Drosophila melanogaster: one gene and its partner. The protein of the gene in region 1 purifies or fractionates together with the protein of each later gene. This does not show direct contact. Each region holds a gene or a part of one and is shown in the gene's direction. Other genes may lie near its edges. The genes, in order: Pen and Fs(2)Ket.

What was found.
Region 2: the proteins of Pen (region 1) and Fs(2)Ket purify together in Drosophila melanogaster (affinity purification with western blotting, with the first as the bait; one study listed by BioGRID). This does not show direct contact.

What each region holds. Positions count from the first base shown.
Region 1 is NT_033779.5:10,054,928-10,060,662, forward strand, and holds Pen (pendulin), read left to right. Parts: upstream 1-1,972; 5' UTR 1,973-2,277; intron 2,278-2,694; 5' UTR 2,695-2,769; coding exon 2,770-2,832; intron 2,833-2,893; coding exon 2,894-3,207; intron 3,208-3,271; coding exon 3,272-3,842; intron 3,843-3,919; coding exon 3,920-4,540; 3' UTR 4,541-5,168; downstream 5,169-5,735. Other genes in the region: Cpr31A (cuticular protein 31A), read left to right, coding at 1-945. UniProt on the Drosophila melanogaster protein: Binds specifically and directly to substrates containing either a simple or bipartite NLS motif. Promotes docking of import substrates to the nuclear envelope. Seems to act as a cytosolic receptor for both simple and bipartite NLS motifs.
Region 2 is NT_033779.5:20,733,038-20,738,026, forward strand, and holds the start of Fs(2)Ket (female sterile (2) ketel), read left to right. Parts: upstream 1-1,873; 5' UTR 1,874-2,053; exon of another isoform or gene 2,054-2,132; intron 2,133-2,215; 5' UTR 2,216-2,335; coding exon 2,336-2,393; intron 2,394-3,065; coding exon 3,066-3,307; intron 3,308-3,380; coding exon 3,381-4,409; intron 4,410-4,477; coding exon 4,478-4,989. Other genes in the region: TM9SF2 (transmembrane 9 superfamily protein member 2), read right to left, coding at 889-1,026.

The sequences.
Region 1 (5,735 bases):
GCCGGCTATCATCCCGCCTATGCCACCTACCAGGCACCGGCTGCCGTCTACCATGCGGCACCAGTGGCCCAGGCTGCTGTCTACCAGCAGGCGGCTCCAGTTTACGCCAAGACCTTTGTGCCAGCTGCTCCTGTATACACCAGATCCTATGCCCTGCCCACTCCAGTTGTCAAGGCGGTGGCTCCTGCTCCTCTCGCTCTGCCCGTTGCTGCGCCGGTGGTGAAGACCCTGGCTGCTGCTCCCGTGGTCGCTGCTCCAGTGGTCAAGACTGTGGCTGCTGCTCCCGCTGTACTGAAACAGGTAGAGTTGGAATCTTCGCCGCGCTACGACTTCTCCTACGGCGTTCACGACAGCATCACCGGCGATATCAAAAGCCAGGTGGAGACCCGTGACGGTGGCAATGTTGTGGGATCCTATTCCGTCCTGGATGCCGATGGTTTCAAGCGCACAGTGACCTACACCGCCGACGACATCAACGGATTCAATGCGGTGGTCCAGCGGGAACCGGTTGTCGCTGCCCGCGCAGTTGCTGCTCCAGTGGTTTCCGTCTCCGCTCCAGCTCCAGTTCCCGTCCATATTTCCTCCGCTCCCGTTGCCTCGCTGCCCGCTCCCATCTACTATCCACACCAGCAGGTGTTCGCCCCACAGCAGATTCAACAGGTTGCCGAGCAGCAGGGTGAGGTGGTGGAGTCTCCTGTGGCCCAACAGCCCGAGCTGGAACCCACTCCCATTGACTACAACGAGGGTCAGCAGCAGCAGCAGGAGCAGCAGCAGCAAACCTATCCCCAGGATCAGCAGTTCCCACCCTACTCGCCAGCTGGTCAATCCTCCCCAGCTCCTGACAGCGATGATTCCGACGTGGTGGAGGCACGATCTGCCCCGGAGGCCAGCAGCACCACCACCACCGCTGCTCCAGTTACGGAGGAGAACAAGAAGACGGCCTAGATTGGATTATGAACGGAAATATTGTTGAAATTAATAAGGAAATGAATAAAATACTTCGAGAATACATAAAAAATTGTCTACTAATTCAAATTAAATGTAGTTTAGTTACATTTATAAGCTGATAATTCAAAAGCTTAAATGCGGCGATTTTAATAATTAATTTACCACATTAATTTAGCGGATTACTTCTCAAAGAATCGAAAAACAAACAATTGAAAAAGGGACTAAATCGATTGGCAGCAATCATCTCTAAAAAAAATTTTGTTTATTTCTGACAACCGCATATAAACAAAATGAAAAGAGCATTAACCGGAAATATCTGCGCATTTATTGCATTATTACTGATAATCGAGAGATTAAATGGTATTAGTGCAATGATAACATATTTGCAAGCAAAAAAAAAGAGACAATCAAATTTTATATTTAAAGGTAGACAGATAAAATCAGTACCTTTTATTATCCAATTAAATATTGATTTAGGTGGCTATTTTTTGTCTTATTAAATATGGATAGAGCTTTACATTTTAACACATATTCGTTGAATAAATTAACAACAAAGATTGAACATAAATATTTATGGAAATTGTAATTGAAGCTTTTAAACGTATAGCCTTAATATTAAACATTATTAATATTATATTATTTTAAGATGAAGGTTTTCCTTACAAAAGTAAAGACGAGAAAGTAAAACATAAACATTTGTCATAAACATTTAAATGAGCCCGCGTGGTGTGCAGATTCAGCCGACTTCTATTCAGCTGTTGGCTGAATTTGGCTTGCATGCGCACACGTTCCACGTTCCACAACAACATATTGAAATCCAAAAGCTGCTTCACCACTTGGCAAGCGATCGTTAACAAGTTACACCAGAAATTTATATATACTAAAAAAATAATAAGTTACTTAAAAATTTAGTAATAATTATGTGGATATAAAAAATGTACATTATTTTTCTCTACGCGCCGTTGTCCGAAGTTAACAGCAAGATAACATGCGATATTAGGCACCTACGTTCACACTGGCATCAAATTTCGATAACTGACAAAGATCGATAGCCATCTGCGTTTCGTTCGCCACTAAGGCTTGCTTTTCAAATCAAACGGTAAATTCTGGCGGCGCCAAGCAGGCATTGACTCCAATTTCGCATCGATTACGAGAGTACTGTCTACGTTTGTCTACAGTTTCACCGACACATTCAGCGTGCTAACACGCTCGACAAATTCTCGTGCTCGCGTTTCGTTAGGGAACGATAAAAATTGTGTAAAAATTCAGTAAAGTGAATTTCCATTCGAAAAAGCCAGCACACGCATTCAAAAGGGCAAAGGTACAAAGGTAAGTGCGTGTGTACTCTTTTCTTCCTTTTCGCGGTTTTTCCCACTGCTTTTTACTAGCGTTCATCAATTTGACCGCCTCTTCGTGATCTCCTCTTCTCGTTCCCCTCTTTCCGCGAATCGGCAAATGGCGGCTGCTGCAGCTGTTGCCAACCAAAGGCGTAGTTCTTAACTCGCGGGGGCTTGAGCGATTGGGTGCCCCGTTAAAAATAATCTTGTAAATTAGTTGGCTTATGTTGGCTAACACATAGGAATAACATATCGAGTTGCTGGCCACAAAGAAAACCCCTTTTTTGAACTCATGGTTACGCCCCTGTTGCACGCCGAAAGGAATATAAAAGACAGAGATAAAAAAAAAGAACCCAAGCAGCCCTTGATTCTGCTTCTTCCTGACATTGACTCACATTTTCCTTTTCAGTTTCACACATTTCATCGCAGCAGCAAACATCTAAACTTTTAAAGAAAAAACACAAAACTCAAAAAAAAAAAAAAAATGAGTAAGGCGGATTCTAACTCACGACAGGGCTCCTACAAGGCCAACAGCATTAACACGCAGGTAATGTACACAAGATCCTCCGCAGAACTGCGTTCGGAACTAACCTCACTTTTTGCCCTAGGACTCACGCATGCGCCGCCATGAGGTGACCATCGAGCTGCGCAAGTCCAAAAAGGAGGACCAGATGTTCAAGCGGCGCAACATCAACGACGAGGATCTAACGTCGCCGCTCAAAGAGCTCAATGGCCAGTCGCCGGTGCAGCTGTCCGTGGACGAGATAGTGGCGGCCATGAACAGCGAGGATCAGGAGCGCCAGTTTCTGGGCATGCAGTCTGCCCGCAAGATGCTCAGTCGGGAGCGCAATCCACCCATCGACCTGATGATCGGCCATGGTATTGTGCCCATTTGCATACGCTTCCTGCAGAATACCAACAAGTGAGTAGTGGCTTTAGAATGTTGATGAGAGCATTATTGAATATCCCCTGATTCGCCGCTACAGCTCAATGCTGCAGTTCGAGGCCGCTTGGGCGCTTACCAACATCGCCTCTGGCACATCCGACCAAACGCGCTGCGTTATCGAACACAATGCTGTGCCGCATTTCGTGGCTCTGCTCCAGTCCAAGTCCATGAACCTGGCCGAGCAGGCAGTCTGGGCTCTGGGCAACATTGCCGGCGACGGAGCCGCCGCCCGCGACATTGTCATCCACCACAACGTAATTGACGGAATCTTGCCACTGATCAACAATGAGACACCGCTCTCTTTTCTGCGCAACATCGTCTGGCTGATGTCCAACCTGTGCCGGAACAAGAATCCATCGCCGCCATTCGATCAGGTGAAGCGGCTGTTGCCCGTCCTGTCGCAGCTTCTGCTTAGTCAGGACATCCAAGTGCTGGCCGACGCCTGCTGGGCTTTGTCCTACGTCACGGACGACGATAACACCAAGATCCAGGCTGTGGTCGACTCGGACGCAGTGCCGCGCCTGGTCAAACTGCTGCAAATGGACGAGCCGAGCATTATTGTGCCCGCCCTGCGCAGCGTTGGCAACATTGTGACTGGCACAGATCAACAGGTAGGAAAACAAATGATTTTAATCCTTATTGTTATAACATGCCTGACCGACCTGTTTTTTTTTTTTTTTTTTATTAGACTGACGTTGTAATTGCATCTGGAGGTTTACCAAGGCTGGGACTCCTTCTACAGCACAACAAAAGCAACATTGTGAAGGAGGCTGCCTGGACGGTCAGCAACATCACAGCAGGTAACCAGAAGCAGATCCAGGCTGTGATTCAGGCCGGCATCTTCCAGCAGCTGCGCACCGTGCTGGAGAAGGGTGATTTCAAGGCTCAAAAAGAGGCTGCCTGGGCGGTGACAAACACCACGACATCTGGCACTCCCGAACAGATCGTCGATCTAATTGAGAAGTACAAAATATTGAAGCCTTTTATCGATTTGCTGGACACAAAGGATCCGCGTACCATCAAGGTGGTGCAGACGGGCCTATCCAATCTGTTTGCCCTGGCGGAGAAACTTGGTGGCACCGAGAACCTATGCTTGATGGTCGAGGAGATGGGCGGTCTAGACAAGCTGGAAACTCTGCAGCAGCACGAGAACGAGGAGGTCTACAAGAAGGCCTACGCCATCATTGACACATACTTCAGCAACGGCGACGACGAGGCCGAGCAAGAGCTCGCACCTCAGGAGGTCAACGGAGCCCTCGAGTTCAATGCCACCCAGCCCAAGGCTCCCGAAGGTGGCTACACGTTCTAATCGCCCACCCCACACATTCCAAACTCCGCTCACACGCCTTACAAACAACTACACCTTCGACCGCGCTCACACACTATGCCATTGTCAAACATACGCATACTCATCATCACATCTTACAAACATTCCCAAACACTTTGGAGGTATGCATGGAAACACAGGCGAATGCATTAGCTTAAAGTCATAATTGAATCGGGTTGGCAAAATCCACTCGCATGAATCCCCATTTAACATACCCGTATTCCTCGCGTTAGACTAGACTTCACAGATTGCAGCATGGATCTTTCTGGCAGTGTTCCTCGTTCACGATGCAACCGCTCGGGCAGCTGCGCTGGCTGGGATCCGTGGATCATAGTATTTCCAGAATCCGTCTGTACAGGGGGCACCTTATGTTTGCGTGTACTAGGCTTTTTATTGGATACGTTTCGAGCTCATTTCGGATATATTTTAGGCTGTTTAGTATTTATTTATGTATACAGGAAACGCTTTTAATCCTCCACCTTCGCGCAAGCATTACAACAACAACAACAACAACAACAACTCATTCCCTTCACACCAGTGTCCTCATTCCCGAATCGCATGTTTATATTCAAAGTTGTCAATAAATAATGAATTGTTTGAATGATTAATTAAATTTCATGTGTATTTAAGCTGCATTTGAGCATTGCGAAAATTGGAGCCTATTTTTGGGCCTTGGCATTTTTTTTTGTATATTATTTGGAATGCTATTGGGATATACACCGATGCAGGCAATCGAATTTAAAATGTTATCCCTTCGATGCGCTGGCGCCTTTTGTCCGTAAATCCGCGATAAAAAGTCATGCAGTCAATACATGTTTTTTTTTTTGTCTTGTACATTTAAATCGCATTTGGGCCGTAAGCGGATAGCCGGAAGATTAAGAGCTATCTACCGCAGCCACGCCCACTCGAGCAGCGGTGGACAGCGACCCCAAAAAAGTTCCAGATTAGATATAATGATTAAACAACCGACGAGTGAGTAGTGAGTAGTAGTCTACTACTGGCACAGAACGCGCACCACGCACAACTCAATCAAGATGAATCGCAGCGTTCGTGGTTATTGCAGTGATCCAGAGGGTAAGCTTAATCAGTGGAGCGACGACGTCACATCAACAACCATGTCCACGTACGATCTTGTTCCCATCGGATGCAGTGCGTCGAATTCGGCGAATCGTGTGTG
Region 2 (4,989 bases), about 11 Mb from region 1:
TAGATCAATCAATTGGATTGACAACTGTTGATAATACTAGTGTATTTTAATCTTATCGTGGAAATAATTATTAAAGTTTGGTAAAAATTCCAAAAGTTTGCAAATGCGTTCGATAATTTGACCCCGTAATTTGCTTTTACTTTGGGTTCTTAGAAATTTATCTTATCAAAAAGCTCTCTTAGATTGTTAGAAACAATTGAATGTGAAACACCTTAATTAATTCTTATCATTGGGCAACGTCTAATTTAAGGGCGTATAAACCGATTAGGATTTCTTGACCTACGGGTATATTAAAAAGTTGTTTAGATTTGTTTAAAGATAAGATGAAGCAAACAAAACCAATAGCTCACGCTTTATCATCCAATAGTTAGGTCATCTTTTAAAAGGGCTAACCCCATCTATTTGGGATATCAAACTAAAAATTATACTTTGTCCTGAATTTATATTGTTATTGTGTTATACTATTATTACTAAAAAGAAAATAACCCAAACATAATGCAAGGAAGCATGACAAGCTAACCGCGTTCCCTGGTTCAATTATTGGTTAGCCGCCACTATGTTAAGATTCTTAAGGTCGGGAGCCCCCGAAATCGCATTCGCGAGCCAGCTGAACCAACATTAGAACTCCCATCTAGCTGTCGCTAGGAAAGAGAGCTGGCGTAGGCAACGTCAGCAGAAGTTGAGATAGAGGGCCACATATGGACCCCACATATAACTAGTTACTGCGCTTATCAGTGCTTCCGCCTGTGACCACCATTAGAGGAATATAGAACCAATGTACATAACTAGTTCCAGTGCCTTTGCTAATTGTGGCGGGCGTGGGGCAAACACACCCACTATCTACGTACATATGTACATCTGCACTTCTGCACATACGTATACACCTACCTTGCATGTGGATGAGACGTCGGTTTTCTTGCAGAAATTGACCGGTGCCAGTCCGGGCAGATAGAAGGCCTGTGTCGGGGTCGCAAGGTGCAAGAGAACGACGCCCAGGAGCGGCAGAAGTCCGGATAGCAGGATCATCTCGAATTGGGGTAACCAACGAACGGCAGGAGTAGCAGACCTTCTTCCTTTACTTGTACGGGTTGTAATCACAACGTGGCCGTGTCCGCGATTCTCTGCCACACTTTCCGGATCGGCGGGCCACGCACAAACCGTACTATCTGGATATTTATCGGAATATACGGAGTTTTTCGAGTGTTTTTACTACGTTTCCTCTTTTTTGCCGAACGTCAGCACTGTAGCAGCGTTGCCACCTAGTACAGCTGAGAGGGCTGCCAACTGGCTGACAAAAAAACTACCAGCATTTGCAAAGCTAAATATTACCGCGAAAACCTTTAGCTCTTATTATTATTACGTGCAAAACGAAATTTGGTAGACTTAATAAACTTTTATATTTAAATTAATTAATTCCCCTGTTCAGTAAGCGAATGCAACCAATATACACACGTATACGTGTGATACTTCTAAGATATTACTATTTTTATCCACTGTTTCTTAATATAGTAATCAAATTTTGTTCATTTGTTAGTTTTTTACCTACGACTCTTAAGTCAAAGTATTCGATTATTTAGTTCGTTCGAGGTTTTGCTTCCGTGCTTATCTTTGAATATGAAAATTTTCGATAAGCACAATCATTCAAATTTAACGATTGATTTTTGGGGAGGCAAACGCGTTTTAATACAAGTAGTAAGTATTTTGGTCTTATCGTTCCTGACTAATAATATATTTTGTCAAATGGTTGCACATTTCCTACGCATTTAAGAATATTTAATTAATACGTTATTAGATTTAAAAATTATCGATAGTTCGAATAAAGCAATCGAATAGGTGTCGCCTTTTTCATCGAAACTCAGTGCTATCAAATAAAAATCGACATTCGTTTCAGCTCTATTTCAAATCGGAGACACAAGAAATATATTGCCTGCACTTCCCGAAGAGCAGATAAAGGTTCTGCCACCATTAAATAGGCTTATAATAATAACTAAGAAAATCGCCGTTAGGAATCCCGCGCTTTTTTACCGTTCCCGAAAAATAACCAAACAACAATGTGAGTAGAATGAAGAGTTCTACTGAACGCGCTTGTTGTGTGCGTGTGTGCGAAAAAATCAATTCTTTTGACAATCAAGGTGTTGCAACCTGTCGAAATAAAATCGCCAGCTTCAGCGGAGCAGCCCAATAACTTTAACTCTTTTGTCTCCACCATTTGCAGCCGACAGACTAGTGTTGTCTAGTAATTACGCAAAAATTCCATCACCCACACAGACGCACGAGCTGCAGAAAGAAACGGAAAGTGAAGTAGAAATCATATAGAGAGGAAAAGAGCGAAGACATGACTTCCGATATCGCCATGCAATTGATTGCCATTTTGGAAAAGACGGTGTCGCCAGGTGAGTTTCCCCACTGCTACAAACGTGTGTGTATAGATCCGAAAAATATGGATTTTTCTTCGATTGGCGGGAGGGACGCGCGTTATATGTTGCGCAGGGTTGCAATAGGCGCTCGCATATGTTTGGTTGCTAGGGGCCTCCGCACACATGTGCATCCACGTACATACTCCAAGGGAAACTTGGCGGCGCGTCTGTATGTATTCGCAATGCTTGCGCTCCTACAATTAAGGATGTACGAACCGCCTGCGACATAACCTCACTAACTCTAGGAATCGATGAGGCGTCGCTTCGGAGTCACCACCGTATGCTTGGCGGCCAGTTCTTCCGGTTGCTGATAAGGAATGCCTGCAAACTTGCCCCTTGCCTGAAGATTTTATGCTCCACCGCTACAATTCATTACTAGACCTTACTGCTTAGCTCTTCATATGCACACACTTCTTTCACCATCTATTGTATTCTTATTAAACAATATTCTCACTATATACGCCTTGCCTAAAAGTTCCTATCTTGCCTTCACATTCCCAAAAGTCAATTGTTGTAAAATTCAATGGCCTGATACCAAAGCTTTAAGCCGACCCAAAATGGTGGGCGTGTGTAGGCCCACAAATAAAATCTTTCGTTGACATAATTGGAAATTAAAAATGTCTAACCAACCAAATGACGCATTTTCAGACAAAAATGAGCTGCTATCGGCGAAGAACTTTCTGGAGCAGGCGGCGGCCAGCAACCTGCCCGAGTTTCTCAAGGCGCTGTCAGAGATACTGGTGAACACGGCCAACAGTGCGGTGGCGCGAATGGCAGCCGGTCTCCAGCTGAAGAACCACCTGACCAGCAAGGACGAGAAGGTCAGCCAACAGTACCAGGATCGCTGGCATCAGTTTCCCAGCGAGATCCGCGAGTTGATCAAGAATAACGTAAGTTACATACGCTGATGTTGAAACATATGACTTGTACAATTGGCACTGAATAACTGCGACTTACTTTCAGATCCTGGCTGCTTTGGGTACCGAGAACACCCGACCCTCCTGCGCCGCCCAGTGCGTGGCCTATGTGGCCGTGATTGAGCTGCCGATAAACCGCTGGCCCATGCTCATCCAGACACTGGTGAACAAGGTGGTCAGCGAAGGATCCAGCGAGATGCATCGCGAGTCGGCGCTGGAGGCCATTGGCTACATTTGCCAGGACATTCGTTTCGGCGTCATGGAGAACCAGTCGAACGATGTGCTGACTGCTATTATTCACGGCATGAGAAAGGTAGAGCCGAGCAATCATGTACGCTTGGCGGCCACCACGGCCCTTCACAACTCGTTGGAGTTCACCAAATCGAACTTTGAGAAAGACATGGAGCGCAACTTCATCATGGAGGTGGTGTGCGAGGCCACTCAGTGCCAGGACTCGCAAATCTGCGTTGCCGCTCTGCAGTGCCTGGTGAAGATTATGACCCTTTATTACCAGTACATGGAGCCCTACATGGCACAGGCTCTTTTCCCTATTACTTTGGCGGCCATGAAGTCTGATAACGATGCTGTAGCGCTGCAGGGCATAGAGTTCTGGTCGAACGTCTGCGATGAGGAGATAGATCTGGCCATCGAAAGCCAGGAGGCCACTGATCAGGGCCGCGCTCCGCAGAGAGTGTCCAAGCACTATGCTCGAGGTGCTCTGCAGTTCCTGACGCCTGTGCTCGTCGAGAAATTAACCAAGCAGGACGAGTGCGATGACGAGGACACCTGGAGCCCGGCGAAGGCCGCCTCCGTTTGCCTCATGGTGCTGGCCACATGTTGCGAGGACGAGATCGTGCCACATGTGCTTCCCTTCATCAAGGAGAACATCGAGTCACCTAATTGGCGATTCCGCGACGCAGCGGTAATGACTTTCGGCTCCGTGCTGAATGGATTGGAGACCAATACCTTAAAGCCGCTCGTGGAGCAAGCCATGCCCACGCTCATTCGACTGATGTACGACTCCAGCGTTATCGTGCGCGATACCATCGCCTGGACCTTCGGACGTATTTGCGATGTGCGTAGTGGTGATTTTTAAGGTGATTCATATTGTCATACTAACCTTCTACTGCTTTTTCCTGACAGATAATTCCCGAGGCGGCTATCAACGAGACATATCTTCAAACGCTTTTGGAGTGCTTCGTGAAGAGCCTAAAGTCAGAGCCGCGTGTAGCAGCCAACGTGTGTTGGGCCTTCATTGGACTTTCCGATGCAGCTTGGGAGGCAGCGGTCACCAACGACGGAGAGACTCCGGAGACGTACGCCCTGTCCCCGTACTTTGAGTACATCATTACCCAGTTGCTGGAGACCACTGATCGATCGGACGGAGCTCAAGCCAATTTGCGATGTGCTGCTTATCAGGCACTTATGGATATGATCAAGAACTCTCCCTTGGATTGCTACTTGGTGGTCCAGCGCACCACGCTGGTGATTTTGGAGCGCTTGAACCAGGTGATGCAGATGGAAACGCAGATTAACAATCACAGCGATCGTCATCAGTTCAACGATCTACAATCGCTTCTGTGCGCCACTCTGCAAAGCGTTTTGAGAAAGGTCCACGAGCAGGATGCGCCTCAAATTTCCGATGCCATTATGAC